Drosophila melanogaster: one gene and its partners. The protein of the gene in region 1 interacts with the protein of each later gene in a pairwise test. Each region holds a gene or a part of one and is shown on either strand. Other genes may lie near its edges. The genes, in order: CG7173, roh, CG7655 and U4-U6-60K.

Region 1 (8,956 bases):
ACGAATCGAATGTTTTGCACGAAGTTCGCCGTCAAAGTCGTTGGCGTGGTCTTTGACGAGTGCAGTGGCGCCTGCTGCTTGATCAATGGCTCGATCACCGTGTCCGAGGAGGACTTTCTGGCCTCCATTTTCTTGGTGTCTGAAACAACCGCTTGCGACGTCCCCTTGACTGACTTGTCTTTTTTAGGTTTGCCCGAAGTAAGACCAGCTTTCTGGTTGCTTATGGCATCTGCAGGTTCTATTTTGCTATCCATTTCGTCCTCATTCTGTTCCCTGCTCTGGTTGTCCTGAGAGCAAAGCACCTCTACATCGGTTGATTGCTGTTTGCCTAAATCGCCGTTGTTGTTATCGTTGACTTTCGGTACGTCGTCCACGTTTTTCGGGCTTGACGCCGTTTTGCCGGGAAGGGTGTTATTTGAAAAGCGTCTTAGCACCCGCACAAATAGGTTACTTTTGCTGGCAGCTGGTGGTGTAGGCGTGGTGTTCAGCGTGGGTAGAGAAGAAGCTGGCTCGATAGGTGATGACTGGATTGAAGTGGTGCTGCTAGTGCTCGTGTGTGCAGAAAGTGTGCCCTGCTTGCAAGTGGGCTTTCTGTTTAGTGTGTCTTTTAGTTTTGATGTCGGGTTCGGCTTTTGCCTAGAGGAGGCAGATCTATTAAACGAACGGTGTCCCGACTTTTGTATATTAGCTCCCTGCACAGTTTGCTCCTCGCTAGAAATTGAGGTATTCCTAAAAGAATGATAGAAGTAGTTGATTAGATTCTATAGACTCACAGGTACAACAGTCGAGTTTTCCACAGTTCTCAGTAAACTTCCTTCCAAGAACATTTTATAAACATTCGATAAACGAAAAAACGGTTTCAGTTTACGTGTTGTTTATCTAGTAAGTTTTGCTTAAAACAGAGACGTTGAAGTAACAATTCCAGTTGAAGCATATTTAAAAATTAGTATCCTAGGGAAACAAATCCTTTGTAGGATACTTGGTCAGTTTAACACACTACATACAAGGATATTTTAAACCAGCTTTTACGTTATTTAGGCATATATGAAACAACGATTGTTACTTCAATCATTTTTTGTTATGTGCCCTGATTTAAATAAAAACAATATTTAAATAAATAGAGATATTCCCTAAATGTTTTGGCAATGACTCCAACTCACCTTTGAGGTTGCGTGGTGCAGGAGGTAGTACCATCTTCGCTGATGGCGCTTCCCTTCCGAGCACGGTTCGCAGGTACGACCTCTTGTTGTCGTACGAAGTCGCAGAGGGTTTGTCCAATTTTGCAAGATTTTTAGCAGCAGACCACCACGTTTAATCTGAAGCGAGAGGCAAGGCGGTGAATGAGTACATGAAGGCATGGAGGAATGGAGCAAAGGTTAAATTCCGGCACTATTGACAGGAGGAACTGGCTTGGACTGGGGCAGAGACATGGGCAGGGGCAGGAGCAGGGAAAGGTGACCATTCCCACACCCACTTATGTTCGTTGCTTGGTGCCGACGTCTGAAATATCGCTTACAGCTGGGTGGAGGAGGTAGTGGCGCCGTCTCCAGGAGGCCGAGGTGTGCGCTTTCCATGAATCACTAGTTTCGATTGCACTACGTTCGTCACTGGCTCTGCCGTTCCACTCTACTCTGTTCTGTTCTGTCGCGAGGGATATGTGCGTATGTGCGGTACGCTGGCTATACATACATATTTATGTACATTTGATTCGGGACAGGAAGCATATGCAGCGACTATGATGTCATGTTTCCACGCCGCTCCTTCCGGAAGTCCTTCGCTCGACGGGATCGTGCTCGAGTTGGGGATTTACGACCGGGACGGGGTCTAGGGCTCGCACTGCGACTGTCGGATCGTTCGCATCGAGGATTTCAATTTGTGATTGTGGTGTTCAAAGGCAATTCGAGCTAGCAAGCTTTCATATTACGGCACGGGGGATTGGTAAGTCTTTCGGGAGATAGTGTCACCTCCACAAGGGGGGTCAATTGGATTGAACGCGTGCGAGAGTCAGCGGAAAATTGAAGTTATTTCGCCAGAAGTTCCCTTTACTTTCACAAAAAATTTTACAAAGCAACTGGGTTTACTTGTGTTCGTGATCTATCGATAGCGCATATTGTTACACAAGTGTTATCGGCGGTGATGCCACCCAAGCTACCAGCTTGCCTAATATATATGTTACGCATTAGCAGAGATGTTACCTGGCCTCTGTTAACTTGAACAGTAGACCGTTACTCTTCGAACGAGTTATAACATTGTTAAGAATACTGTATAACCTTTAAGCATTAAGCCACTTTTTTAAATTTCATTTTGCCTGCCATAATGAAACAGATTACAAACAGATTACAGCTGTAAAAACCACACCTAACAAAGTCTTAATAAATTCCAAACCCTTATACAGGTTTCCCTTATTCAGCAAGAAGATGCTCCTGTCTCTTTTGTTTTGCCCCTAAGGCAAAAAGCCCAGATAGTCTCTTATTTTATATATATAAATATGATTTTCGATAATGTTTTCTTGCAATTCGTTAATTTATTTATTATAACTAACTTCTCTGAATGATTTTTGAGATACATACAAATATATTGTAGAACTTAAATATACATGCACTAATAGTTTATAAGTTATCACTTTAATGAATAGGAAAGCTATAAGTGCACGATATTTTTATACGTGAACAACAAATCAAAATCACTTTTTACAAAACCCTACATTTTACCATTTCCACTAAATTTGCATATTTTGTAATCGCTAGAATAAATTAAATTAAAACAGTTTTTTATTTTATTTTAGTTTAAGAGCAAGATCCTTTACTCTTAATCGTCACACCTGGAATAGAACATGTTGGTTTAAAATATATACAGACAATACATATATTGGGTATGAAACTCTTACTTATATTGAGGCATGACGAATAGCACTGCAGTTGGGTTTCGCCCGTGTACATGTATCCGTCGGATCCACAGATTATTTCATCGTTTTCATCGTACACATTAGCACATATCTTCTCGCAGTAGTTTTCCGTGTCCTTTGGATCGTCAGGAGTAGCTGAACTCGTCACAGTGGGCACCTTTGGAATATCTTGCTGAAATGGGCAAATTTAAAATTAAAAATGTAAGAGCTAAATTCACAGCAAAAAGAATTTGATCTTATTAGGAAAAACTGTTACTGGTATTTGATGAGTCGTATAATTTTTGTAGCTTGAGTTGATAGAATCAACTATTTTTTTAAGTTTATTTTTTCAAAGAAGAGTACTATTTTAAACCCGTAAACGATTTGATCGAAATTAAGTACTCACTAAATCGCGTAAAAATCATTATAAAATGCCTTAAAGGTTGGAAGTGCTTGTTTTTGTGGCCACTTTTTGGCCAACAAATATGCTAGCTTATATAAGCTACTTGCGGTTTTCACATTTATTGAGAAACAGAACCAACCTGCTTTCCACTTTCAGTGTCGGAACTATCCTCTGGGTCATCGGTGTATTCCTTAATGGGCTTGCTGAGTTCAATCTTCGGGGCAGGAGATTTCGCGGGCTCGCGGGGAGCTTGGGCCACGGTTTCGTAGTAGTACTGATTGGCTTGCGGGGCTTGGGTGTACTTCATCGATCCCCTTATGGCATCTTGCTCGGTGAACTCGAATCGCAGAGGCTCCGGGGTAAAGCTCTTGTGGGTCTTGGCGAGGTGCTGGCTCTTCGACGGCGATTGAGTGGTGGTCTGGACCGCCATGGGAGTAGAGACCACATGCTTAACGGCTTTGTTGCCGTCGGACTTGACAACGAAGACATCCTGACCTGCCTGGTAACTGCCGCGAACCACTGCGGAATTCGCAGGAGCGGGATCTTGCTGGTAGAACAAGTCGGACACTTGTATGGGCTCATTGTAACTGGAGGAGACTGAGTTGTCTAGGCCAGCAGTTTTGTAGGGAACATGTTGCTGCAGCGCTTGTTGCTGCTGCGGCTGCTGGTGCTGCGGTTGCTGATGCTGCTGCTGTTGTTGCTGATACAGTTGCTGCTGCTGCTGCTGTCTGTATTGCTGTGGATATTGGTGGAGCAGCTTCTGCTGGTCCCGCTCGGCGTCCAGTTTCTTGAAGTCAGGATCCCTCTTGGGCAGGAAGTACTCGTTGGTGCTCATGAATTGCAGGTAGTCCTGCGCCTCCCTGGACTCCTTTGGTGGTGGCACTGCCTGGCGAAAGTTTACCGCCTGCTTCGCAGGTATATCGGTATCCTCGTAGACAGAGTAGCTATTTGGATCCTGGGGAAACTGGCTGTTTTGGAGAGCAGTTTGCTGGGTAGGGACAACACTGAAACTGGGAGATCCCTGCTGTCCGAAGAGCTTGGGATAGTGCAGGTACTGGGAGGCCTGGACGGGAATCGCATGCTGTTGGATGGGTGCGTACACTGGCTTGGTGTCCTTCATGATCACATTGCCATTGAAGCGCGGCGAGGACTTGAAGTTCTGAATGTACTGCTCGGAGACATACTGGAGTGGGAACTGGTTTTTGCCCACATCTAGCACCGGAGTGTCCTTTACGTGGGCGAATCTGCCCTGCTGACTCTGGTCGAACTGGTACCTCCTGAGCTGGTCGTTCGCAGGAAAGTTCCCGAACTGCTCGCGACGCATGATGTGCTGCGCAGTGGCAGGTTGCGGCGACCGCAAGAACTTGTTGGAGCCACCAGAAAGCATGGCCAGGTTATCCGATCGCGATCTTATCCGGGGCAGTTGTCCGGGACCCGGCGGCCGATTGTGCTTGATATGGTGCTGGGCCAGGGGCTGGTTCTCACTCAGAAACTGCCTTATGCGCGCTTGTCTCATATCATTCTCACCGCACTGCACTTGGTTGATTAGGACCACTATCAGAACTAGGGCCTCCAAAATGGGGGCCAACTTAAGCGGACTCTGAGTCATTTTTAAAGCTCGTCTTCGTTCCACGACGGTCTATTGGTATTTGACATTTGTCAGTTCCGCGGCCAAAAGCAAAAAAGTTTCTTTCGAATTAACCACGCACACATGCGAAGCTTCTTTTCCATTCGACGATCCACGATCGCGCAGACTTGATCTCACTTTCTTTGTTATCCGGCCAGTCGTTTAAATAAAAATGGAACGCCTCGCGGCACTGCAGCCAAATACAATGTGGTGGCCTCGTCTCTGGGCCCAGATGCAGCTATCTATGTATATCTATTTAAAACCGACTTGGTTCGCCATATCAGCTTAAGATGGGCACTTTTTCTAGAGCCTGTGGTTCCAACGCCGCAGCACCGTTAATCAATGGAGGGTCTCGAGCATCCACATCCATCCGATTACTTTCTTCTTGAATTTCGGCGGTGCCGTCGGTTGGAAAGCAACTGAGTGGCAAATGGAACGTTTCTGAACTAGCTGTGCTGGAATTCGGAGTGTCGGAATGGCCACTAAACCAGTTTTGAGATGCTGCCTCTGCTGCCATAGAGGAGCTGCTGTGGATGTGGATGTGGATGTCGATGTCGATGTCGATGTTTTTGGATTTGGATGTGCATGTGGTGTCCACCGAGAGATCCCCGAGAGATCATATCGCGACACGAAGATGGAGCACTCGAGCCTCGGGGCACCGTGACATCGCTCCAGATGCGACAGAACCATTGGCCAGGTATGCTCATTAATCTGGCTATCTTGAGTGCTGGTGAAAGTAAATCGGAGATAAGATCTTTTGGAGACCTATGCGTAATTGGTTCGGAGTTCCTCAAACATCAGAGATTAATTTGCTTATACAGAATGCCAGATGGCTGGATGTCTGAGACTTGTGAATGCAGGGTTATTTACCTCATGTAAAAGTGAAAATGTTTTTAATTATAGATACTGGGATAATGGGTACAACTTTCGCTTTTGTCGTCAATTTGGCACTGCTTTTTCGAGAGAACAAGCCATGAAAACGATAATTTGGATCATTGTTATGCAAATCGCTCGAAACTGTAATCGTTCGTTAATGTATTCATTCATAAAAGCCCTGTTATTCCATAAAGTTTCAAATATCTCAGATTCTTTTGTGGCCAGTAAGTTTGTGAAAATGGAACTGATTACCTTTTTATGTATAAATAAATATTTATAAGGACCTAACACAATTAAAAAAAAACAACTCGGTAGCAATAAAACTCAGTTGGTTTATTTAGTAATATTATGAGATGTTGTAGAAATAAATAAATCTCCTTTGTGCGGGGGCACATTTGAATTTAGACAGACTCCCAGTCATATCACTAAATTCCCAATACGCAATTCTTAGCTCTTAAATTAGTTCTACAAAAGGTTGTTCTCGACGTCCTTGGCTTAAACTACAAATGTTGAAATGGCCTCGTGCTTAAATACAAGTCTCCTCGTTCTCGATCCAAATATCGTTCTCAACTTTGGGCTCCTCGCAAACTGTGTGGCTGTTTTCCAGCACGATGACAATGTCCGTGGTGCTCAGGACCGTGGAGTCCGCATTCTGGAAGTGCAAGGTCCAAAGTTAATATACACACGTGGAATACAAGCAGGTGAAAAGTAATGTAGTATTTATTCGCCCTGTATTTTACTATTTCACAAACTCAAACAATCACATACGAGCACTTTAATTCGCTCAACAGGCAATGTAAGGAAAAGTTATGTTCCCATGGGTATTTGTGTAAACAAAGCGAAATCAAGTTAAGCGGGGATGGAGCCGGAATACTAAGCAACTTCAGCATTGGGAATTACAAGGATACACAAATTGACGCAGAGTGAAATAACTTTTTAATTTGATTTATTCGCCCAGGTATCTTTGAGTTCCGAGAGTCCGGCGACACAGAAAAGTTTGGAAATAACTCTGGGATTTCCAGTTCAAAAGAATCTGCGCATCTGTAATAACTAAATTTATGCTAATTTACTACTATATCATACTCTAGGACACTATGCTATACTTCAATGAGTATTTATGATTTTGGTCTGTTTAATTACTTTTGGTAGCGGGAGGCTGTAGGTTTTCTTTATCAGCACCCTATTTGCAGATGAGGAGTCCGTTTCGAACTTATTTGGATGCTGGCTGGCTCTGACGTGAACCTATGGGGTAATTTGAGATAGAATAACCAAATTAGGTTAGGTTGGATTAAAATGTGCTTTCAATAACTTAATAACTTACAGAATGAACGCGGTCGTAGGCGGAGCTTTCCCGGAAACTGGAGTGATCCCTCGCAAATCCGCTGTTGTAATAGGCGCCCACGGCTTTTCCGCAGAGGAGTTCCCTGAACGCAACCCTGTAGCGACGTGACATCACACTGTACACTATTGGATTTACGGTGCTGTCAAGCCAGTTGAATCAGATAAATAAGTTAATAGAATTTGGGTTCATTTACCATGAAACGTAGTACGCAAATCCCGCAATCGAGAAGAGTGCCTCGTTTATGTCCAAATAGTTATCCATGTTCTTGGCATACAGGAATATGAGTCTTTGCAGGTGGAACGGGAACCAGCACACGAAAAACGTAATCACCACAGCAGCTATACTGATTAAACGGGGACTTTATTGATGGATTCTGTTGGGATTGATTGGGAAAAGCTCACCCAACATGCGAATAACCGTCTTCTTTCTCATTTGGGAGTTTCTCGTTTCCCTGTTGTTGGTGCCTTGTTGAACACCTGGAATACATCCCTGAAGTCGGATCTTTTGGGGTCAATAAAAGCCAGGTACTTGCCCAATTTTTGGTTCGTTCGAGATCGAATCTTGGCTCCCATTCGTCCGTAGAGCAAAATGATGAGTATCATCGGAATGACAAAGAAAATGCAAAAGGATACTTCGAACACGGGAATTTCGTTAACAATCTTGGGCGACATGGAACAGAATGCCGACTCCTCAATGCGGGAATGATCTGAAAAGCGCAACGAATGCCATTTATACCTGTTCATGTTATTTGGATATTATTCAAAGAATATACTTCAACCATTCATGGCTGTTGGATGGTGAAGTTCAGGTCGCTCGCAAAATTAAAGTCCATTTCAATTGATTTATAAGGTTTCAGCAATTTACTTCATTTGAGCAACTACTGACTCGAGCACCAAGCACCATTTTTGTACTGCTAGGGAACTTATGATGTAAATAGTTTCATACCTAATGGGTAGTTGAGGTATTGAATATCCGAGAGCAGTCCAAATGGAATGGCGCTTATAAAACTAACAATCCAAAGAGCTGTTATTATCCGAATCGCGCGCTTGAAGCCAACCATAGCATACAGGTGCAATGGATGGCAAATGGCCAGGAATCTCTCCATGGAAAATGCGACGATGGTAAAGACGGAGACATAGGTGCATCTGAAACACAGCTGGGTTTATAAATGGCTAAACGTGTAGTCAAAAGTAGTTATACTAACGCCTCTGAAATAAATGCGCGTATTTTGCAGAATGGCATGCCGAAGAGATCCGGATACTGATGCCAGTACAGAAACACTTCCGTTGGTAATCCTAGTTTTGTTTAAAACAGCATATTCAGTTAACTATATTTTCCTATTTTATTTAGTTAACCTACCAAATAGTAGGTACAGCAGATCTGAAACAGCTAGGCTGAACAGATAGTAATTGGTCGCCGTGTGCATTGCCGAGTGGCGAATAATCACAATGCACACTAAGAGATTACCAACGACCCCGGTTATAAATATGCCACCAAAAATAATTGTTATCTGGAAAAGGTTTAAGCAAACAGAATGATCGCTTTATCAATTTAAAACCTTAGATTAAAGCAAGCAAATTGCAGAGCCGATTCACCAATATCCATGTGTATTTAGCCTAGGTATGTACAAGTATAAATGGCTGTATAAAAGTTTTAATTTAATATCTTGGATGAGGAATGATATTTGTTGACTATTGAGTATGACTCACAACAGGCAATAAGAAAAGTTATTTGATTTTAAGCTTTGATTACAAGTAAAACTGGTAAAAATTAATCCACTTCCAGAAGACTTACCAAAACTGCCTTGTAAAGTGGTAAGGTCTG
Region 2 (7,393 bases), on another chromosome or scaffold:
GAGAAGGATCGCTTGGACCTAAAGCTGGCCGAGCGCACCTTCTCGCTGTGGGGCTATATGGCCAATCACCTGAACGAGTATATCAACCCGCTGTACAAACCAAATGTAGACGAGGCCATTAAGGCCAACCTGGCACCGCAGTGCATCAAGTGAGGACTTTCTGGAATGAGCCAAATCCTATATAAACTATGCGCTTCTCACACAGGTTCTGGCGCGGCATGTACAGTCGCTTCGAGAGCGGCATTCATCCGCGGGAGCCACTGGGCGACGTGCTGCTCGATAGCAAGGAGCACTGCAACTCGCTGGAGGACCACGTGCAGCATCTGACCAAGCGCATAGCCAGCTTCAAGAACTACATTTCCAAGTCGGCCAAGAAACTGCAAGACGCCACCAGCGCCCCTGGCAAAGTGAACAAGGAGCTCTCCAGCAACGAGATCAATGACAACAAGTGCGTATGATAGATATTAGTTATTATGCTATAGTATGCTTTATAATCCATCCGCTTATTGCAGATACAACTACGATAAGAAGCTTAGCGAACTGTCTGCCGCCGACGACGATCATCCGCTGAAGGCCAGCAACATGTCCTTCGCCAGTCTGTCGCTGAGCGCGGAACAATCCAGTCCGCCGCAGGCGCTGCCCGAGGAGATCAACTCCGTGGCCGTAGACTGGAAGCCCATGCGCAACGTAACCACCTGCTCCTGCTCCACGCCCTTCGATCAGTTCAGCAAAAAGGTGGGTAACTCCGCGTACTTAAGCAAGCCTGCCACTGATGATGATCCAATCCTCGAATAGACTCACTGCTGGCGCTGCGGGGACATCTTCTGCGAGCGCTGCATAGACAAGAACGTGGCTCTGCCAGGACACGACAGTGGAAAGCCGGTGCCGGTGTGCCGGGGCTGCTTCCGGCAAATGCAAAAGCAAAGCCCGTAGAGGCAAGGCAGGCAGGATCGAGGAATGGAGCGGAGCTAGGGTGTGCAATCGATATGGAAACGCTATTAAATTTATTGTGTGTATTTATTGTTGCATTTGTAGACTTAGCTGCTTGTAGAAGCTCATTCAAGTTGTTGCAAATGGAAATCAAAAGAGCAAAACCAAATCAATCCACCAGCGATTGGCTTCCAGGCATCGTCCTAGTCTATAAGCCGGGCACAAAACTGTATTTTGTTATTAGAATCTAGAGCTACATATTTGCTAATCCCAGCCCCACCCGCACGGAAAGTACAATTGCATGTCAGAGCGCAGACTTGCTCTTGATCAAAATATTTATAATTTCCGAGGAACTCGGCGGTCTGCCGGATGTACAGACACTTGGGCCTAGCCCTCCTTCGCAGCAGCGGTCCCTGGCATCAAGCATATTCCACTAGCATACCCGTAAATTATGAACTACGCATCAATCTTGTTTGTCGATTTGATCAAAGTGTAATAAAACTTATTTATTCAACAACTGCGAGTTCTACTGAGCGATCGATGAAGTCTGATTAGTAGCCAATGTCTGGCTTGATGCGGAGTATGACGGGAACACTGGTGCAGGGCAGGATGGCCACCTCGGTGACCACGGCACTCACCAGCTCCGGCGGAGTAATGTCGTAGCTCAGGTTGAGCGGCAACAGCTTTCCCTTGGCCGCCCAGTTGCTTAGCTGGCACTTGTCGCCGCGCACCAGTTGGTTGGGATCGCTCAGCTCGTTGTAGACGATGGCGTCCGTCTGGAAGCGCTCGCTGAACTTGTGCGTCTCGCAGCACACGAGCACCGGCACGTTGTGGGCATTGGCCACCAGGGCCACCTGGGCGGTGCCCGTTCGCGCCATCACGTATCCGTTGGCCAGCAGGGCGTGTGCTCCCAGCAGCACCTTCGTGGCCTCCGCCATCACATAGCCCACGGCGTTGATCAGCACGTAGGTGCACGGGATTCCGGTGGCGTGCAGTCGGCGCAGCAGCTCCTGGCCTTCGCATCCGGGTCGCGAATCGACGACAATCACGCGGAAGGCCACCTGGCGCCGCTTGGCCTCCTCGCAGATGAACTGAATGAGGGAGGAACAGGCGAAGGTCAGCAGCACGTCGCCATCGGTGATCTTTTCCTGCAGAAAACCGCTGATCGCTTGGGCCGCCTTGCCGATTTGATTTTCAATGTAAGTATCGATGAAGTGGACGAGCAGCTCCTTCGACTGTTGAGCAAATGCATGTTACCAATTGAGTTAAAAAAATATATTTTGATTCTTACCTCCGTTTCGGGAACATCCGCCGGCAGCTGTGTCAGTTGGTTCTTGAATTGTTTGTACGCATTGGACACGGACACGGCCAGCGGTCGGCACTTGTGCAGGTGGTCTACGTGGTGCTTCACGGCGGCGTCCAGGCTGCGACCAAACTCCTTCTTGGCGGGCGTCTCAAAGTCGTGGACAACCTGGCGCAGGGCGTGCAGGAAGGCAATGCATCGAGCATTGGACCCCACCACCGTGCGCTTGGCGTACTGAACACCCAAGCGCGCAATGCTCGGATGAACGAGTGGATCGTTGATGAACTGGCTGTCTTCCTTGGCGCACACCAGATGGTTGAACAGCTTCACCCGGCAGTCTACATTGGGCGTGCTGGCTGGACATTTGACGGGGGAACTGCTGGTGGCCGCTGTGGTGGGGGAAACGCTCTTCCGGTTCGGCCCTTTGGGAGCTGCGCTGGGTGGTGCCTTGGCTGCATGCTGGGCCTTTTTAGTCTGTACCTGGGCCTTGGCTGCCCGTTGGGCTTCTTGGATAGCGCGACGCTCCGCTTTGCTAAGAGCTGGCTTTTTCTGTGCAAGGTGAGGTGAGATGTATATGAAGCAAGGAAATCATAAATGTAGCAAGTTACCTTTTCCTGGTCCGCTTCTGTTGTCGAAGGTGCAGCACTGGCTGCGACTGGAGCTTTTTCTGCTACTTTCAGGTCAGCGAGCTGTTGTGCGATGCCCTCTACCTTGGCTCCCCCGCCTTTGCCAGCTTTCTTGGCTGCCTTCTTGGCCTCGCGTTCCGCCTTGATCTGCTCGCGTGTCTTTTCACCCGCCTCCGCATCCTTGCCATTTACCGCAGCTGGCTGAGTCGTCTTTGAAGCCACTGCATCCTGCACCTTTGTTGTGGTGGTGGTCGTCAGCTTAGTGGTAATGGTGGTCTGCTCCACTTCAGTGATGATTTTGGTGGCCGGAGCAGAGGGAGTGGTCAGAACAGCAGGAGTGGCGGCAGTAGGAGTCGGTGCAGTTTTCTGTTTCTTGGCCTGCTTAGCCAGCTTCTTCGCCTCCCGCTCGGCCATTATCTGGTCACGAGTCTTCTCCGTGGCCAATGGATCCACAGCATTTCCGGGCATTGCACTCGTGGCGTCGATGGCTGATGTTTCTTGTGTCGTTGAATGGCTGTCTTCCAGGCGATTTCGTTTGTTGCGCGGTCGATTGCGTTGCCTTTGCTTCTTGTGCTTGCTCTTCAAAGTCTGGGCGTCAGTCCCAGTCCAGATAGGGAGTACGGAATTAGTTATTGATGTAACAATATGTAAAACTATCAAACTGTTTGGATCAAATACGAAATCAAATCGGCCGACATGCTAAATCAAAACTAAATTTGGGAAACTCGCTACTTGGCAAATTAGTTACTAAGAGGCAAGCTAGCTACCTGTGGCACCTGTTCGCTAGTTAAAACCATTTTGAAAGCTTGAAAAGAGAGAGACATGGCAATTAAGGTGAAAAAGGATGTGAAAAGGTTAAAAAAGGTTCAGACTCCTGTGGCGGTGCAATTAAGATCCAAGCTGAATCCTGCGTCTATGGGTAAGCACGAATGCTGGCTTATAGCACCTAAGCAGTGTGCTTGCTGTCTTTACCTTACGATTCTATATTATTATTCGGGAAAAGTAACTCGAAAGTTTTGCTCACGATGGCAAAAAAACGTCCACCAGTTGATAGCGATGTAAGTGAATCGATAACCGTCTTGATTCGCCGCGGTAAACACATGGCCGGCCTTGCCAGACTCGCTAGCAGCCAGTGTCATTTTTGGTGCTTTCCTCGCCGCACGAGTTGGCATTCCCATAGCTGTCTTTTATTTGTGAGGTTCGTATGTTCGTCTGCCGCCTCCGAAAATTACATAATTTTTGCGTAAATTGATTTCGTTTAATTCGACCCTCCACAGCTGCGAATTCCACGACTACCATGGCCGACAAAGCTGCTGCCGAGAAACCCGCTGGACGCCCCATGCGCTACCCATACACTTTCTCCGCGAAGATAGCCCAATTCCCCATCAAGCACTACATCAAGAACCAATGGATCTGGCGCTACTACTTCATTGCGGCCGTGGCCTGCGTGCCCGTGTTCTACAAGATCAGCAAGCTGGGTGCGTAACACTCGCCTCGCGACCTCTGGGCCCCTTGTACTAATGCACTTCTCCCTCCTGCCCATTTTCAGCCAACTCGCCCGAGAACAAGAAGGCATGGGCCGAATCGCAGGCCAAGGAGCACGCCGAGCACCACTAGGCGGCCAGTAACTTAGTCTTAATTGTCGCATCAACATTTCAGAGCTGTTTGTGTCGGACCCAACGTGAAATCGGCGAATAAATGATTTGAAACGAGGTTAAACTTGATTCTTATTGGAGAGTGCACTGCAACATCCAAATACGGTCTTATTATGCGGCTATGACACCACCTATGAGTTGAGTTCGGTCACACTAATGATTTGTTATATGAAACACAAATTAAGTTGCTTGTTACTATTAAAATTCATAACTAGCAGCATTTAATTGGATTTATTAAAGAATAGATTAAATTATATTCCACAACTGATCGCGATGAATATTCGTTTACCCAGATAACTGCATTTCGAAGGGTTAATCGAGAAGCTAAGCAGGAAAAATATTCAAGTTCAAATTTGTATAAGTAGTTGGCGCAAGACAAAGCATCACAGGGGTCTAATTTTTGGTAGTGAGTTGGAATTTCCCCAGATTCGTAAATAAAATAAAAATAAAAAAGTACTGAGAGCACTCATTAAAACAAAACACTGATTCCTATCATATCCGTTTCCGTTGACGGTCATAAAGAGTGTACTGTTATCAGCTGGTCAACATAAAATTCCTCAAAAATTACCTCAAACTCGACTAAGCTTGCCAGTCGCTCCATTACCGCGAAAAGATGAAGTTCATCGCAGCTGGATTAGCTCTTCTGGTCTGCTCCATCCAGTTGGGTGAAGGAGCACCTGGTCACCTGCTAGACTCCAGTTGTGGCACGACAAAACCAGAATTTATCCCAATGATCACCGGGGGCGCAGACGCAGGCCTATTCTCAAATCCATGGATGGTGAAGGTGCTAGGCGAGAAACTATGTGGTGGCTCGCTAATCACCAGTCGTAAGTATTCAAATGTGGCCCACGAATGAGTTCTTTGTCCAGTCACCTGCTGCTAATACTTTCAGGCTTCGTTCTCACGGCCGCCCATTGCATCGTTAGTACACACATGTAAGTGAGGCAGCACTGTCTTTCGGCGAACACTTACGAATTCCCATTTCCACAGGAGAGTACGCTTGGGCGAGTATAAAACCCGCTTTCCTGGCAAGGATTGCTCGCGCTGCGTGCCCAAGTCATATAAACTCAGGAGAATACGCTTGGGCGAGTATGACACCCGCTTTCCTGGCAAGGATTGCTGCGTGCCCAAGTCATATGAACTCGCTGTGGATAGAAAGATTTTGCATGCGGATTATAACCTAAACTTGGACAACGACATCGGCCTGTTGCGCATGAAGAGCTTCGTCCAGTACTCAGGTAATGAGGTGGATCCAGCAGCCAGGGCTCCCTAAGCAGTGGACATATCTTTCAGACTACGTCCGGCCGATCTGTCTCCTGGTCGAGGGACACATGGCGGAAAGTCCCATCTTCAACATCACCGGCTGGGGTGTCACCAACGATGGCACGCCCAGCCGGAGGCTCCAGAGGGCCACTGTGTACAACACCGACCTCCACTTCTGCCGAAGCAAGTTCACCAAGCAGGTGGATGAGTCGCAGATTTGTGCTGCTGGCACAAATAGCGATGCATGCCACGGCGACTCGGGAGGCCCGCTGAGCGCACAGGTTCCTTTTGCCGGCAGCTGGCTGACCTTCCAGTACGGACTGGTCAGCTACGGGTCGGCGGCATGCCATTCCTTCTCCGTTTACACCAACGTTACGCACCACAGGGACTGGATTGTGAACGCCATCGAAGACTTCAGCAGAGCTTTCCAGCTTAGACTCTAGCTACTCATAATAACATTTCGTTGGCTTTTCTAAGAAAATATTATCAATCCAAAATATTATCTCGAGTGGTTTAATGGCTCCCCTGACTTCTGTCGTAGACGCCATTCGGGTCAATAATATCTGCATTAGTATTTATGTACATAAGCGAAGCTTATCTTCAGCAAATTTTAACGCTATACGCAGCGAAGCCTCGCTTTGACTGATTCCCCAGAATTCTGGGGAAAAACCGAACCCTTGGAGAAGGTTCACTTCTACACCCTCACTGGCTGGGGTCACACCGCAGACTATAAGCCCAGCCGCATTCTCCAGGAGACCACTTTGCTTGCGCTCGAACAATCGTGTTGCAACAGCAACTTCAACATCGAAGTCGACCAGTCCCAAATCTGCACCACTGGCGTGGACAGCGATGCCTGCGGTGGGGATTCCGGGGGCCCGCTGAGCGCGAAGCTGCTCTTCGGGTTAAAGAAGCGGGCTTTCCTGCTCGGACTCGTCAGCTACGGGGATGCATCCTGTAGGATCTTCGAAGTGGCCACGAATGTGACGCACTACGTCGACTGGATTAAGGCAACAATCGACGAGAACTCAAGTTAAAGCGTTAAAGCGTCAAGTTAGAGTCCAAGTCGATTGAGAATTTAAATTTGTTGCTAGTAAGAAATCTGCAATTGAAATATTAGTTTACCATGATTAAGTAAACAACAGAAGAAGCTTAGTTTTATTTGCAGTATGCAAAGGGTATAAAGCGTTATCGATTAAAATCGCAAGCTCACATATTCGATAGACCACGCCGACTGTGCTCGCTCTGCCGCGAAGGTATTATTTAAGGGTGCGCCTACGGTCACTCTGCAGAAAACTTTTGTCGTCGCAAAAATGTAAGTAATGTTCAAGCGCGCCGCACTTTTCCGGCATTAAATCTAGTATGTGCATTGGGTATTCGTGTATATATTTTATACAAACAACAAACAAAGAACTGGCTAAAAATAGCGGCTCTTTTATTGCGACTTGGTTTTCGAAAAAGTTCAATGCACTCCGTTTTGTTAAGGAGACGGCTTTACAGTTACTCTTCGTAATGGAGTTTTCTCAATAAATTGTATTTTCTGCGCTTCTCTTGCAGCTAAACTACTCAAGAATCAAACAGAATGTTCGTTGTACGTCGTAGCGCATCTCGTCTGTACC
Region 3 (7,339 bases), on another chromosome or scaffold:
GCGATAAGAAATCTCAGCTGGAATTATCGATTCCTCAAAGAACTCAGCGATTAAGACGGAAAAATGTATTCCGGGCAGAAGTGGGGAGCCGACAAAGTCACAAAGAATAAAATTAGCTTATGAAACAGCAGCTGCTGGGCAGCCTTGAACGAAAGTTGGTAGACATTTCCAGCACCCAAAGGTGTTGACGCAGATTGAAAGGAACTCACATAACAATCCGAAAAAAGAATAACAATTTAAAATAACTCAAAGTCTAGATTCTGACGCACACGTATGCAAATTTGCCAATTCGCAAAAAAAATCAACACTGTTTAATCTATTTTCGTTAAACTCCACGAGTCTCTTCCAATGGACACGATGCGAATGCCAAAGGCTAGTGAAAAGATTCGCAGCAGAGCTGGGCTCGCAATTCGAGATCTCTCCTCAGCTCTCTACACTTGAAGCAATTCCCAAGATCGACTAAATATTTATTTTTGAATAGGTTATTTTCTGGATGTTTTCTGTAAGTGCAAGTTACGTTTTATGAGAGCAAGATTTTATTGAAGAATCAGCAAACAAATTTGCAATAAGTCTTGAGTTTAAAATATGCGATAACATTACTTGTATCATCAAAATAAAATACGTTTATATATTTACTCCGCCCAGTTATCTTTGAAACTTTAAAATAATATATATTTGTAGTTTGTACATTTTTGAAATAAAAAATACTAACATTACTAACAGAACGTTTTATTCTCAGTGTGCTTGCGCTCCGTGGCACTTTTCTCTCTTCGCTCCCACCACAGTTAGAACAAAACTTGAAATTTCGCTGACTCCGCGAGCTCAGTGGAAGAATTCACAAATTGCAAAAATTTCAATTCAAGGTTGTTGCTCTCTGCGGCTGCGATAACTGGCAGGTCGGGTATTTATTTTCCTCTGTTGGCTTGTCAAGTTCTGGCTTCTTATTTCTGCTGCTTTGCTGGCTCGCGTCATGTTTCTGGCTAAAAGATACTGACTGTGTTTCTGTTTCTTCTTATCCACAATCAACAAACATTTCTAAGGGGCTTTCAAAAATACTGGGTTACGTGATACTGGGTAGATGAATAATCCGTATACAGCAAATCTTTCCAGGTTTACTCTATCTACATATAACTAACTCTTGATTTCATTTATTAACAAATGTAACCATTTTTAGTGTTTCCAACTGTTGTATTGCGACCATTGTGACAATTTAGATGGTTCATAGCATCTTCACTACAATTTATGAAAGTTTTTACAACTCCAATTGTCTATTATCTAGTCCTATGAAACCGACATTCATTATTACGGATGGGTGGACTGACCACAAAGTTAAATTAATATTTAATGGCACAATGGAAACGGGTTTCCGTCAAACAAATCGATGGCGTTTAACGGAAAGTAAGTAAAGTCCGGGCTGCGGATTCCGATTCCGTGAGTATAGAGGCGGGGGAGGAAGAAGCAGCAGAAGCGGTGGCGGCAGAAGAGAGCCAAAGCCAAAAGAGAATAAAAAGCACAATAAAAACGCCGGTAAAGGTCATCAACCGGAAGAAAAGCGCCCATGTGTGCGTGAGTGTGACTGGCCAGTGTTTTTGTGTGAGTTTTTGTATAAACGAGTGTGTGAAAGTCGAAATCTTGCTGCCAATTATCATTATGACCATCTATAAATAATTATGTATTATGGTCGAACAGCATGCAAAACACGCTGGCTGCTCGGCCTCGTTACAGCCAACTGACAAACTGGCAAACTGACATCGAACTGCACAGTTGGCCTAATTTTCCCGTTTTTCTTTCTATCTTTCTGTGCCGTTGCTTCCCTCCCTCCCCCTTTCTTTTGCGGCGCCCCAGTGTTCAATTAGCTGCCTGCTCACACACACACTCGCACTTGCTGGCACATGGAATTTCTCCCCTGTTGGTGAGCCCCGGCCAGAAATGCCAAGTTGACCATTTTCTGGCCTTTGAAGGCAGCGTGTTTGAAGTGGGTCAAGTATTCGCCAATGCGATTACATCTCTTCAAATGGAAATAAAAAAGTTATTGATCCTCGTAACTGTGTATAATTATTAAAGTCCTTATGCGAATTATAAATGTCTAGATTTGTTTCTAAAAAAAAATTGTTTTTCATAATCAACTTACATATCCTAATAACTTCTTAAAACTGAAAACTTCCAATCTATCTAAAATTTAACCGGGTTCTCCATTTTATATTATTTTTGTTCTTTCATAAAAAAATAATTTGAAATTATACTTTTACTAGCTTGCTTTCGCAGCAGCATCACTGATAACGGTGCAAGTGCTTTCCTCGCTCTCTCTGTCACCGCTGAGCGAGAGCGTACTCGCACTCATTCATTATTTTTCATCTATTTATTCATAAATGCATTTTTTGCCCCTGCTATTTTCAGCGGCTCAAGAGTTTTAATTTTAGAAAGCACTGCTCCCTACTTTTCGTCTTTTTCTCCCGTAATATTTATGCAACATGCAATGCTGCTTTATTTATCTCTGTGGGAAAGAAAGCGTGGCATGTTTTTTGCGGTGTGTGGTGTCTTCTTGTTATTCCTGCGTGGGAGCGTCAGGTTCCAAGTTCGTTTCCCTAATTTTTTCTTTTGGTCCACAGATGGAAGGTTGGTCTAAAATGTGGAGTGACTCATAAAGGCTATAAATAGGCAAATTGATATTGTCTAAAGCTGGCGGTTAATGATTATTGATTGCTGACGTAGACGTCGATAGCATTTGTTGATTGTCAATTGGTTTTCCCCGATGACGAACGATTTTTGAGTCTATGATTTATTGGACTGCAGCTGCTCTGCTCCGCTCTCTCTTTTGAGCTCTGCTCCGCTCTCGCTCCTTTGATAAGCCCGCATATGCTTATGTGTGTGTGTGTGGTGAGGTCAGCGCATCAATTATGCTCATTTCTTGTCTTTTTCTTTGATAAAATCAGCGAACAACAAATGGGAAAGGGCGGGGGCAGGGCCCCGGCCAGACGGCGGCGCCCGAGATTTTTGGCAAATCAAAGCAGTCAGCTGTCCCCTTTGCTCATAATTAAGCAATGGGGAGCAGTGAAAGTGTGTCGACTACTAATTGGCACCTTGAATAATTGCACACCGATAAATAAAGTAGTGGCTTCCTTTTTCCTCTCAAGACAAAAGGGCGTCGCACTGCACTTACACACATACATGTACACCGCTCTCCCCTTCTTATCTCCAGTCTCTATACTTCTAACGCTGATTTTCAGCCGATTTTAAGCCACTTGCAACGTCAACAATTTTCACAACATTTCACATTTACAATGCAGTCTTTCTTTTCCTTCTTCTTTTCTTTTTGTTGGAAACGCATCCGCCATTTGCAAGCCACTTGTGTATGTGTGCCGGAGCGCTGCGCCTGTTTGAGTGTGTGTGTGTGTTGGGTTGTCGCGTCGACAGTTTTTTCATCACTTTGCTTGGATTTAGATACGCTTTATCAAACCAGTTCTTACTTGCAACTGTTAAACTTTTTCTCAACTTTCTTATGCCTTTCGGCTGCGGACTTACACTTTTTCGTTAGTGGGAAAATTGAAACATTTGCAAACAGAGTGACCGTGGCGACATACTCCAAAAATCGCGCCAGTCACATAATAGTCCTAAATTTGGACAACTAGCGATGACTCAAGCCGCCGGATAAATGCGCTATGTTTTTGTAGCCGAGACACGCTACGTGGGGAGAGCGATGTTTTTATCGTGGACACAAACCAAATTGAAATTCTTCACCGAAGATTTTATCGCGACTGTGCCATGGTCGCACTGATTAGCTCACCGAAACGTTCATTGAATTTGTTTTGATTATCTCGAAATAACAAGCTATTTTCTCAATTTTCCTGACAAAAATGACATCGATTGCCAAGTCCATAGTACTATTGGCATCCCTGGCCACGTTCGCTTACTCCCTGTACGTGGTTGGCAGCCTGATGATGTTCCTTTCGACGCCTCGTTCGATTTCCAAGGCGCACACCTGGATTTTCAATTTACTGGACAACAAGTCGCGCCTGCAGACCGCCTATGGACCCGTGGTGTTCGATACCCTCTACCTGATCGGATTCATCTTCCAGCACAGCTTCCTCAAGTCAGCCGTGGTCAAGAAGCTGTTGGCCAAGTTGGGATTGTCGGGTGCGGAGCGCACTATTTATAGCCTGACGTCATCGCTTTGTTTACATGTTTGTATACCCACAAATTGGACAGAAATAGCTCCCAACTGCAACTTTGGACATTTCAGTATTTGATCGTCAACTGGCTGCCCGCTCAGTCGATTGTTCTGTGGCAAATCGATGTGGAGCAGAGTGCTCCGCTTTGGTGGACCTTCGTGATCACCCATGGCATCTGCTGGGTTGTCATCTTTGGCGGCAGTTTGGTGATGGATCTGCCAGAGCTGCTGGGCGTCAAGCAAGCCTACTACGATCTGAAGGCCTACGGACCGCCCATCAGCTACAAATCCGGGGAATTGCGCAATCTGTACGCCCATGTCAGACATCCCTCGTTTGTGGGCCTGTCGGTCATCCTGTTCGCCACGAATGTGATGAGCGTGGATCGGCTAGTCATGGCCTTGCTGCTGACCACCTACATGTACCTGGCCTGGTCCACAGATCAGAAGGATGTGGCCTATCAGAAGATTCAACTGCAGCGCAAGAAACTCGAACTGAAGGCCAAGTAAACTTAATCTCAAAAGTGTTCTTACTAAGATCTAGTTGTAAGTTGACATGAGTTTGTATTGAATAATACTTTTCTAACAATTTCAGTTTCCGAATCAGAACGAAACAAATAATGAAAAAACTAAAAGATATATAAAAATATATATGGTTCAGTTTTTACTATTTTACTACTATTGCTAGCTTAATTAATTATTTTAAAATTTAACTCATTCTTACGATAGAAGGATCAAAGGGCTGTCCTTTAAACGGCGAACCTTCGGCATCCCAGGCAGCTTTCAGGCGATCCAGGTTTATAGCTTGGTCGGGACTTGAGGTCTGAATTTCATTTTGTTGCTTGTCTGCTGCCAACTGCTGGACCCTAAGCTTTTCTATGGTGGCCTGGGTTTCCTCCGGCAAATCATCTATATAGCGTTCGCATTCAATCTTCTTGGAATCGATTTCTGGATCACCTTCGAAGAGCCGATCCCACCAGAGCTCCTTTGCTTTATCTACAGTTATATACAGTTTATGAAAATGGTTTATAAAGATGTTTTAGGTGAATGCCCACCGTAACTTATGATCAATCGGTTCTGATCAATTGTCCACACCGCCTCCTTGTGTTTAATCCGCTGGCTCAGGTTTCCCTCGAGGATGATCGTCTCTGGGCTATGCTTGCTGCTCACTTTGATGTGCTGGGCCTGAATTGAAATGTGCAGCTTCTTCGCCGTTTGATGATCCTTGGGAAGCAGAGCCTGCACCTCCACATCCTTGAGGGTTTGTGACCAGCAGTGCGTTTCGAACACATCTCCGTTTTTGTAGTCGCTGGGGGAGAACTTTGACTGCTCCTTCCCTTTTTGTGGCGGCTGGCTCTCTATGGGTTTCATTTCCTCGTCCTGAGGACCATCTTCGCTTTCCAGGACCACTTCTTCGACGGCAGGCGGAGCCGTTTCTCCATCATCTGCACCGCCTTCCGCGGTCAGGGATTGTAGCAAGCAATCCGGATCGTAGCGCTGCATGGCGCCATATAGAATCTGATCCCTCACGCCTTTGGGGAAGCCTATTTTATCCGCTTCATCGCGTTTTGTGTGATAAAAGTCGGTGCTAAAAAGGGAAGTGGGACTACAGTTTTGTTAAGGATCTTGAGATAAAATCTTTTACTTGCGTCGCAGAAATCCGAAAATGGAGTCCAGGAAACCTGTAATAGTTTTCCGATCCTGCAGAATTTCCATGAGCATAGCATCGTTTCGCTGAAAGTCCATTTTTGTAAGAATAGTAACCGGCCGCTTTTAACTTAACATCTAATGTTCACGTCTATCGATAACAATGCATTTAAATCGGCGATAGCTATTAAAAAGATAGATACATATTAAAGATTTTAGAGTGTGGTCAACATATATAATATTAATAGGAATCTAGTTCTATTAGAAAATAAGGTCAATAAAGCATTTGTTGATCGAATTAACAAAAAACCTAGTTTAGTTAACACAATCAAGTTGGCAGCCCTGCGACAAACTTGGTATATCGATAGTTGTCGCCTTATTTTCCAAATCCATTCCCAAATTGTTATTATTGAAATAATTTTAAAAATGATCGGTAGACTTTCTTTTTGGAACAAGGACAACGTTTCCAACGAGGTGGACTGCTTGGCCTGCCGTCTGGTCAGTGGCCTTGGACTCCTGGGAATTGGTGCCTTCCTATTGGCACAGTCGAAAAAAAGACAAGCGAAACCTCTGGAGAATTTCACTATGAAAGGCTTGGCTGCAGGTGAGCCACTTGGGATCTTAAATCCGGTCTTATGTTTACTCCTTTCTCCTTCGTCGCCATAGCCGTTGGAGTTCTGGGCGTGGCCCGCCTGGCAGACGCGAATTTCCTGAAGGCAACCGCCGAGAAGCCAAAAGAACAGGAAAATACTAGCACTGATCATCAGTTCTTTTCTAGACGTTAATTCAATGACGTTTTAATTATAATCGTAGAGTCACTTAATATATAAAGGTTAATGTTTTCTTTTGTACGACCATGTGGCATTACAATAATATAGCTGTAACCTTGTTTTTAGAATTTTTTCTATTTAAAATCGTTGAAAACAAAACCTTGTTTGCTTTAATGAATTTATGATTTATTTTAAATAAATTAATTACATAGGCATACACAATATTGCATCTTTTGAAAGAGGATCATAAATAAACATATGTTTGTATTAATAATAATATTATAAAATATCAACAGGATTCTTATTTTATAGCTTTCAAAAAAGGTGTTTGCTTGTTCATAGCTTGGCTGTTGATCTATCTATTGATTTCTGCTAAATGTTGTTGCTTGGCTTTAAAGGATATTTTATAGATGCAATTTTAAAACTTTTATGTTCTTTATGTCCTTTTATGTTATATTGTGTCGATTGCGTTCCTTTACTGTTAATCGTCTAGAATCCCACTTTCCCCAGCTTGGTATCAGTCTTTGGATTGGCCGTGATGTTCTGCACCGCCACAATGGTCTCATTGATGTGTGTCTGCAGCTCGCGTAGGCTCTGGATCTGGAGAAGACGTAGTATGCGCATGGGCAGGTCCAGGGCAGAGTCGTTGGACGAGACGACGTCGTTTCCCTTGTCAAAAGGGAAGGGTTTACCCACTACCGGCTTGCGATCCTTGGCGGCGGGCGAGAGGCGTTCGTGCACCACGCGAGCGATAGCC
Region 4 (8,331 bases), 4.0 Mb from region 1:
TTCATAAAGATAGATTAAAGAAATTTCATTCATGATTGAATTTAAACTTATATTTTCCTTAATCATTTATACAAATTTTCCATACACTACGTATATTTTTATCTTTGCATTATAAAATCAACTATTGTTGTTCAAACAAAAACACAAACAAAATAAAAATAAAAATAAAATAATTTGCATTTAATAATCAAAATAACTTCACTAGGTTACGTTATTTTTCAAAAGGAGGGAGATGTAGTATGTGCCTATGCAATATTAAGAACAATTAAATAAAATAGCATATTAACTTATGGCAGCACTTTGTTGCTATGTTTATGTTTATGTTTATGCACGCAGTTAGGCCAGGGCAGATGTAACATGATCACCCACTCGAAGGCAAAAAGTATAAGTGCATGGTCAGCATTCACACGCCGACCAAATACATATTACATACGTACATACATATCTCGCTCTCCCGATAAGCCTAGATATATAAGATATACATAAGAACGCCGCTCCGCTGCTGGCGTACCCGGCAGCGCAGCTACGCGGATTAGCCTAAGTCAAAATATATAAAAAACTGTAAAATCAGAGAGACTCTGTAGACGTTGAGCTGACAGAACCATTTCTGCCTACTCTAAAATCAAAAGAAGAAATTGAATAAATATATGTCAGCCCGACGGCTGCCTTCAACTTAAAACGGACTTGTGTTCTTAATTGGAGTTCATCATTACAGTGGTTCAAGTACCATTTGGCAAGATAAACAGAGATTTAGTAAGAAACGGATTTTAATTCAATTGCCTCTAAACAGCTACGAGATTAAAATTTATTTTGGTTTGTGGTGATTGTATTTTTTATTATTTATTTTCAAGAGAGAGAGAAAGGAGGAGGAGAAATACGTACGTTGGGATCTGGATCGCCGAGAACCCTAGAGAGCCTGGCTTGCTTATGGGGCACCATTATAGTCGTTATATGTATACGTACCACAGTCGTGATCTTCTAACATTAATACGTACCCAGAACCGAATAAATAAACGACACTCTCATTCGACGATTCAAAAGGAAACGTCGTCGGCCGGTATGGATACGTACCCAAGCTATATTATCTGGATTATCTATGTAATACGCATATCTGCCAAAACAACTAACATTGGTCTGGTATAATGTATATAGTCACCTCGCCATACTCAATACGTACCGAAGCTGTGCGAGAGTTTAAGCGGCTGCGAAAGTGTGGAACGGAACTTCAAGTAGAGAACGCTTTGGGGTTACAAATCAAATCAAATCATATCATATCAAATGAAATCAAATCAGAGCAGTGATGGAGTGTGTCAGAGTTAAATATGGTGGAGGCTTACCCCAAAGCGGGACGACAGCGATGCACAACACACGTTGACTTCGACTGGGTGAACGTGATCGTTAGCTGAGAAGAGTACATGGTCGAATGTGGTCAGGTTTGGTTGGGTTTCAGTCAATGTTACCAACTTGTAGCTAGCTATACAACACACAAAATATCATATATTAAACGTTTCTCCTGCTCTGAATCCTTATAAATTAGTTATCTTTAACTTGACTGCCGCTGTGTCCTAACCGAATTACAATGAACTGAACTTTAATTGACAACACTGCCGATTCGTTGGGATTTCTATTTTCTGTTTGGGTTTCTGTCTCTACGTGCCAAGTACACTGGACTGGACGGGGACTATATAATTTCAATCGCATTATATCGAGTATATCGTTTCTCTTAAAGTTTTTATTGAGGCTGGGGTCTTGGACTGCGTTCGGTTTACTTTGGGGTAGTAACAAAAATTTGTCATTAGAGGTTGGAACGCAAGATCAAAAATAGAAATCAATTAAATTATTAAAAATGTACAAAGGTAGTTGTATCTTCATATTGGAGCGTCGAAAGTGTGGCTCTAGGTTGCTTTATTGGTTACGCTAAGAATATTCGGTTCCTGTTGTTTTCAGTAGTTCAATTTGTGGTGGCATTATAGTTCATGTGATTAATGCTACGTACGTGCGCTGGGCGGGATTCTAGCCTAGCGGCGGTAGTTGCGCTCACGGGAGTAGGATCGTTTGCGCTGGCCATTTCCGCCGCCACCACCATCCCTGAAGTGGTTAAAGTTCCGCCGTTCGCGTGGCGAGCGTTCCCTGGACCTTGAGCGGCGTCTGTCGTCACGGTGATGGCCACCGCCTCCTCCACCGCCGCCTCTGTCACCAAAGCGTCCTCTGTCGTTGCGTCCATGTCGGTCCCGATCCCGCCTGCCATCGCGTTCCCGTTCGCGATGATCCCTGCCGTGGTTGTCCCTGTCATCTCGCCGTCCTCCACGATCTGGTGCCCTTTCGGCTCGCTCCGGACCATCTGCCGCTTCCTTGGGTCGCTCACTCCCCTTCTCCTCAGGACCGCGTCCGTTGTTGGGGCGTTCGCGGTCCCCATCCCGGTTGCGCTGTCGTTCTCTGGAGCGGGAACGATGTACGCGAGAGCGGCGGTCCAGTTCACGACCACCTACAAAGTAGCGATTGCGTCCGCGTCCCTCGTCCTCGCGGTCCGTCATCTTACCCGTCCGCTTGAGCTCCGCCTTCCGCGGCGCCGCCGTCTTCTCCAGTTCGATCAGCTTTTCTCTGATAGTGAGGAATCCGAGATGTAACTTACCACCAAAGTGGTCCGCCAGACGTATGTCATTGTCGTGAATCCCGAGGTAGGCGGAGCATACCTCGCAGACGCGCAACTTTTGCTGCTGGTAGGTGGATGCGGGCATAGATGTGCGGTACTCGTGCTCGGCCTTGATCTTCTTAGCACGCAGCTCCTCGATCTCCTTCATCAGCTCCATGCTGTCCTCCACTTCGCCGGCCTCGCCCAGGGCCTCGGCCTTGGCCAACTTCTTGCCAATCTCCTCGGCGAGGCCATGGACAGCATTGGCCTTCTCAGCCACCTCGGCGGTCAGCTCTTCCTGGGTCTCTTTCAACCTTTGCTTGGCGGAGTCGGTGCGTCGATCGCAGTCGGCAATAAAGGCCTGCAGGTGTTCCATGGCCTCAATGTCGTAGTAGTAGTCGCGCGTCTTGGCGGCACTTTCGTAATCTGCGCGGAAAGCCAGGTCATGCACTTTGGGACACTCACCGAGATCCATGCGCGTGGACGCCAGGATGTCGTGCGGACAGCAGTCGAGCAGAAAGGACTTGCAGACCCTGGGGTCCGAGAATTTCAGTTGGCGCTCGTCGCCATTCCGTGTGGTACCCATAAGCTGGTCCAGCATTGCTCGCATCTGATCGGTGGCCGACATTTTGTTGCTCGGCGCGCTCATATCCTTCTGGCCAGGAGCGCGTGAAAAATGCTGCAGCGGTGGCAGTGACAGCTATCTCACTGGCTTTGTGACCAATAGCGTGCGACGCGTGTGGAAATTCTCAATTTTCACTCACTTTTAATCACCTAAGAAAATTCTGTGCGTGCGTGCGTGAGGATGTTCTAAAATGGGGTAGTGCTGAAAAACAGTGCTGTGAAGCACGAGTAGGCGATATATCGGTGAAAAGTCACGGTTTCTGGGAGTAACGGCTTTTGTTCAGATCCAAGTATATAGATTATTGTTGATTAAATGATTAAATAAAAAACAAAGGCACATCATTTAATTTCCAAGAACAAATGTAGTTCTCTCTAATAACGGTATATCGCGATCTTAATATAAAATTTTATTAAACACGTGGAATAAAGTTTCAGTTTTAAATAGTTATTGTTTTAAATATAATTTAGAGTTTCAAAAACCGTTCATTTAACAATAAACAACAAACAATATCGATCTAAAAACTATTGCTTATTCGCTGCATACCGCTCTAAACATCGGTGATGGCATCACTAAACCACCCCTCTCGGCGTTGCTCAACACTAGGCAGCAAAACGTTTTCTTTACGGCAATATTTTTTGTTGTTTCTTCGTTGTTTCGGCGAAATTTTATTTTAAAATTAATTATTTTGCACTTGTTTGCTGGCCGCAACGATGTCCGATGACGACGATATACAGTACATTAAGCGGCAGCGAACGCTGCACTATGGATCGCTCGAGGAATCGGAACGCAAGCGGCAAAATGCCGCGGCGTCTGGGGCAGCAGCAACAACAACATCGGGAACGACGGCATCGTCTGGGGCAGGAACAACAACAACTGGAACAGGCGGGCAACTGGAAGACATCGATTCCGATGAGGATTACGAGGAGTCCACGAAAAAGACAAGCAACGCCAAGCAGGCCGGAGCACCACCACCCACAGCCGCTACTCTGGCCAACAAAATTGACGATGACTACTTCGATCTAGAGATGGAAATGGAGCGCGACAAGGTGGCGCTCCTTGAGGAATTTGAGCGGAAAAAGCGAGCACGACAGATAAATGTGTCCACAGACGACACGGAGATCAAGAGCAATCTGCGCCAGCTAAACGAACCCATTTGCTATTTTGGAGAAGGACCGGCGGAGCGAAGAAGACGTCTTAAGGAACTCTTGGCTGGATTGGGCGAGAACGCCATCAACAAGAGGCAGTATGAGGATGAGGAGCGCAAGCAGCAACAGCGGGAGCAGGATCAGGCCACCTGGTACCACGAGGGACCCGATAGTTTGCGTATCGCTCGACTCTGGCTGGCGGATTATTCCCTGCCGCGCGCCAAGGATCGCTTGGTACGAGCACGTGAGGCCCTTGAAGTGCCCAGCGCAGCACGTGCCGGCCGAATGGTGGAGATGCAGAAGAAGCTCCAGTCGCTGGCTCCACTGTGCTCCCAGGTGGGTGACACACGGCCCGTGAGTAGTGCTGCCTTCAGTGAAGACTCCTCACTCCTTCTGACCTCCTCATGGTCGGGTCTCTGCAAGCTGTGGAGCGTGCCCGATTGCGAGCTGAAGCAGACGCTGCGTGGACATGCCAGCTATGTGGGCGGAGTGGCTCTGCGGCCGGGAGTTAAGGCAGACGAGGAGAACGTGGTGGCCATGGCTTCCGGTGGCCACGATGGCGCCGTCAAGCTGTGGGGCTTCAACAACGAAGAGTCGATTGCCGACATCACCGGCCACATGCCGCATCGCGTCTCTAAGGTAGCCTTCCATCCTTCCGGCCGCTTCTTGGCCACCGCCTGCTACGACTCTAGCTGGCGGCTGTGGGATCTGGAGCAAAAGACAGAGGTGCTTCACCAGGAAGGGCACGCAAAGCCGGTTCACTGCCTTAGCTATCATTCCGACGGCAGTGTCCTGGTCACCGGCGGTCTGGATGCCTTTGGACGAGTGTGGGATCTGCGCACTGGGCGGTGCATCATGTTTCTGGAGGGACACTTGGGCGCCGTTTTCGGCGTGGACTTTTCTCCAAACGGATTCCACATAGCAACAGGGTCCCAGGACAACACATGTAAAATCTGGGACCTGAGGCGACGCCAGCCGGTCTATACCATTCCTGCGCACACCAATCTGATTTCGGACGTGAAGTACCAGCAGGAGTGCGGCAGCTTCCTGGTCACCTGCTCCTACGACTCGACCACCAAGATCTGGTCCAACAAGACGTGGCAGCCGTTGAAGACGCTGCAGGGCCACGACAACAAGGTCATATCGGTGGACATCGCGCCCAACTCGCAGTATATAGCCACGACCTCATTTGACCGCACATTTAAGCTGTGGTCGCCGGATAGCTGATTTTGATACCATTACTTTATTGTACTCACCTGTGGGCGTACGCAGACAATCTCCACTTGCGATCTGCCCGCTGGGCACGACTTACTCATCAACTGTTTTTGTTATTTCAGAGACAATAGCCCAAAACATTTCAAGTTTTCGTTTTGTATAACACAATTTGTTGTTTTTGTTAGGCGAAAGGCAGATGCAGCGATGTTGCATTTCGTAAATTTAAGACTTTTTTATTGAAATTGTTAATAAAAAATACATTTTTGGTAGAGAATTGAATTTTAAACGGGTTTAAAATTGGGAAAGGATTTACTGGCCCAACAACTAATCAGCCTACAACTTGTTTCTAATTTATAAGTAAGGATAACTAGCAACTTTTCCTCTTCATTTTTTAATTATCCTTGAGCAGCCCATCCTCATATTTAAACATCTGTTTTTATTACTTGTATATAGTTTTCCATTTAATTTCTTTTCGTATATATTTGTTGTATGACAAACTTAGACAATTAATTTGAATTTTAACTAAAATTTAACTACCACAGATAGGTTGCAATTACATACATACATGTAAGTGTATGTCTAATATATTAATTATAGATTACATACATCGCGATATAACTGTTACATATAGTTTACACATAAGGATTCATAAATTTTCTTGCACTTTGCACAATTGTCGATCAGTTTGTAGTATTAGCTCGTCGATTAACTACGCTCATGCATGACGTTAGATAATGTCTAGAATTTCATTTCATTGTTTCGCGTTGAGATTTACAAGGATTCAAATCGCAATCCATGGGCTTCATGTAGAATATGGTGCTGGGATTTGGAGCAGGATCGGGAGCGGGAGCTGGACGAGCGCGTTCTAATGTGGATTTGAATGAGGTCTCCCGACGCTCGAAGATGCCACTTAACTAAATACATAACTCTTGCACTAGGCTAACAAACTAGACAAATGATAACTAATTAACAATTAAGGTAAACGTTTATTGGAAATCCTGCAGCTTGTGCAAGGCTCGTCGCCGACCCGCTCCTCCTAGACCGTCGTGTCCGGCGCCGGGGTGATGGGCTGCTTGGACTCGGACACCTCCAAGGTCCTTCCGTTGGAAGCGGGCCCGCCCTCCTGCGGATCCTCGGGCGCGATGTCAATGCGATGCGCCTTGCGCCACACCACCAGATCCATCAGGAATGCCAGGAACATAATGCCAGCCGTGATTCCTGGGAATTACAGATAGCTTACTAAGTATTTCTGTTTATAAATTAAGGGACTATTATCTTGCATAGTAAGGTACATAATCACTCAGAGATTAGTAATTTAGATATTTTTTTTATATTTTCCTATAGATTCTGACTCACCTAGGAAATATTGCCGGAAAGTGTCCGCATCGTAGAGTGAACAGGCGCCGTGCTTGCCGCACACCGACTTCCAGATGAGGCAGGCGGAGTCCACCACTGCGCCGTAGATGATGGGACAGGGAACGTTGCCGAACAGGCCGATGGCCGACTGTATCACACCCATGGCCATGGCCTTATCTGCGGGGAATTAAGGGTTTTGTTATCGTTAGTGTAACATCTGTTTGCCAATCCTGGTTATTACCTTTGGGGTGTGTGCAGCGCATGACGAGCAGCATGCTGCCCACCTCGGAGGTGGAATGCATAAATACGCAAATGGCAAAGATCAGTATAAAGTAGATGAAGTTCTTGCAGTTATTATCACAGTAACCGTTGACCGCCTCCGGAGCTGAAAGGTGCAAAGGGATTAAGATACTGAATCTTAGGGCTATGGCAATGGGTGCATCTCACCATCTGGAATGCAAGCACAATCGGAGTAGAGTGTGCGATTGTCGCTGGGCCGCAGTGAGGAGCTGCTGCATCCGGCGTGGCAGGCCGAGATGTACATTTTGCCGTCGGCGCAGATGGGCGCGAAGTTCTCCTTATCACAGGTACAGTTGAGAGCGGCACTGCACGTGGGCTCGATCAAGGCGGGACTAGCGATGGATTAAAATAAGTTACATGTTACTAGAGTTACTCCGTATATCAAGTGTAAAAAGTCGACTTAACACGAATTACATTTTGGATTTGATAGCTAGCTTATAGCCCCACTTTCCCGCAGTCCCACTTAGTGCAATATATTAATTCTACATGTATCCAAAAATTAAAAGGATACTATTGTTGCGGAAAAAGTTTGCATACTTATGAGGGCAGTGGTATTGGTTCATGTTGGTTGGATCTCTACCTTTTCAAATGCTATCTTTATAGTTTACTTATATTATATAATTATAACTAATATGTAATTAAGCAAGAACTTCTTCGATGACCCACCTGTTGCCATCGCTTGGCTTGTAGCCGGCAAAGTCGTTCATGCTGCAGCCGATGAACATCAGGATGATCATGCCCGCCGAGTAGACGAGGGCTGTAAAGGCGATCCAGGCGGCCACGCCCCTGGCAGTGGGCTTTCGCTTCAGGATGAAGAGCCCGGAAATGACAATACCTATGCCCATGACCAGGATGCCACAGAAGGCGGCGATCATGTTGGCATCATAGGTGGCCAGCCGGAACTGCGTCTCCAGATACTTGGGCAGGAACGTATAGAGACCGGCGATGGGCAGCAGGTGGAACACGCACGAGGCGGTGCGGAACATCAGGATGTCGTTGCTCAGCTGGCGACGGACTGTCTTGGGAAAATCTGTATGGGTAAATTTTAAGATTTAGTT

Evidence for each region.
Region 2: the proteins of CG7173 (region 1) and roh interact in a two-hybrid assay, tested with the Drosophila melanogaster proteins (one large-scale study listed by BioGRID).
Region 3: the proteins of CG7173 (region 1) and CG7655 interact in a two-hybrid assay, tested with the Drosophila melanogaster proteins (one large-scale study listed by BioGRID).
Region 4: the proteins of CG7173 (region 1) and U4-U6-60K interact in a two-hybrid assay, tested with the Drosophila melanogaster proteins (one large-scale study listed by BioGRID).

The regions. Positions count from the first base shown.
Region 1 is NT_037436.4:21,552,865-21,561,820, forward strand, and holds CG7173 (uncharacterized protein), read right to left. Parts: upstream 5,363-8,956; 5' UTR 4,897-5,362; coding exon 3,427-4,896; intron 3,078-3,426; coding exon 2,888-3,077; intron 2,822-2,887; coding exon 2,787-2,821; 3' UTR 2,509-2,786; downstream 1-2,508. Other genes in the region: Wnk kinase, read right to left, coding at 1-254; CapaR (capability receptor), read right to left, coding at 6,317-6,442, 6,931-7,032, 7,112-7,271, 7,326-7,470, 7,534-7,608, 7,665-7,838, 8,078-8,277, 8,337-8,427 and 2 more.
Region 2 is NT_033778.4:23,383,061-23,390,453, reverse strand, and holds roh (reduction of Rh1), read left to right. Parts: upstream 1-3,990; 5' UTR 3,991-4,156; coding exon 4,157-4,337; intron 4,338-4,408; coding exon 4,409-4,476; 3' UTR 4,477-4,990; downstream 4,991-7,393. Other genes in the region: Mtmr6 (myotubularin related protein 6), read left to right, coding at 1-149, 206-448, 513-735, 796-933; eIF2Bdelta (eukaryotic translation initiation factor 2B subunit delta), read right to left, coding at 1,482-2,165, 2,222-2,782, 2,842-3,447, 3,627-3,656; CG30414 (uncharacterized protein), read left to right, coding at 5,128-5,341, 5,407-5,449, 5,505-5,752, 5,808-6,220; CG13551 (uncharacterized protein), read left to right, coding at 7,357-7,393.
Region 3 is NT_033777.3:17,678,935-17,686,273, forward strand, and holds CG7655 (uncharacterized protein), read left to right. Parts: upstream 1-3,734; 5' UTR 3,735-3,854; coding exon 3,855-4,181; intron 4,182-4,240; coding exon 4,241-4,675; 3' UTR 4,676-4,839; downstream 4,840-7,339. Other genes in the region: CG31251 (uncharacterized protein), read right to left, coding at 4,875-5,161, 5,221-5,753, 5,811-5,911; CG31360 (uncharacterized protein), read left to right, coding at 6,239-6,416, 6,479-6,597; CG31249 (uncharacterized protein), read right to left, coding at 7,072-7,339.
Region 4 is NT_037436.4:17,509,418-17,517,748, reverse strand, and holds U4-U6-60K (U4-U6 small nuclear riboprotein factor 60K), read left to right. Parts: upstream 1-3,836; 5' UTR 3,837-3,967; coding exon 3,968-5,629; 3' UTR 5,630-5,894; downstream 5,895-8,331. Other genes in the region: CG7564 (uncharacterized protein), read right to left, coding at 2,019-3,281; Oatp74D (organic anion transporting polypeptide 74D), read right to left, coding at 6,654-6,835, 6,974-7,150, 7,215-7,358, 7,421-7,605, 7,940-8,303.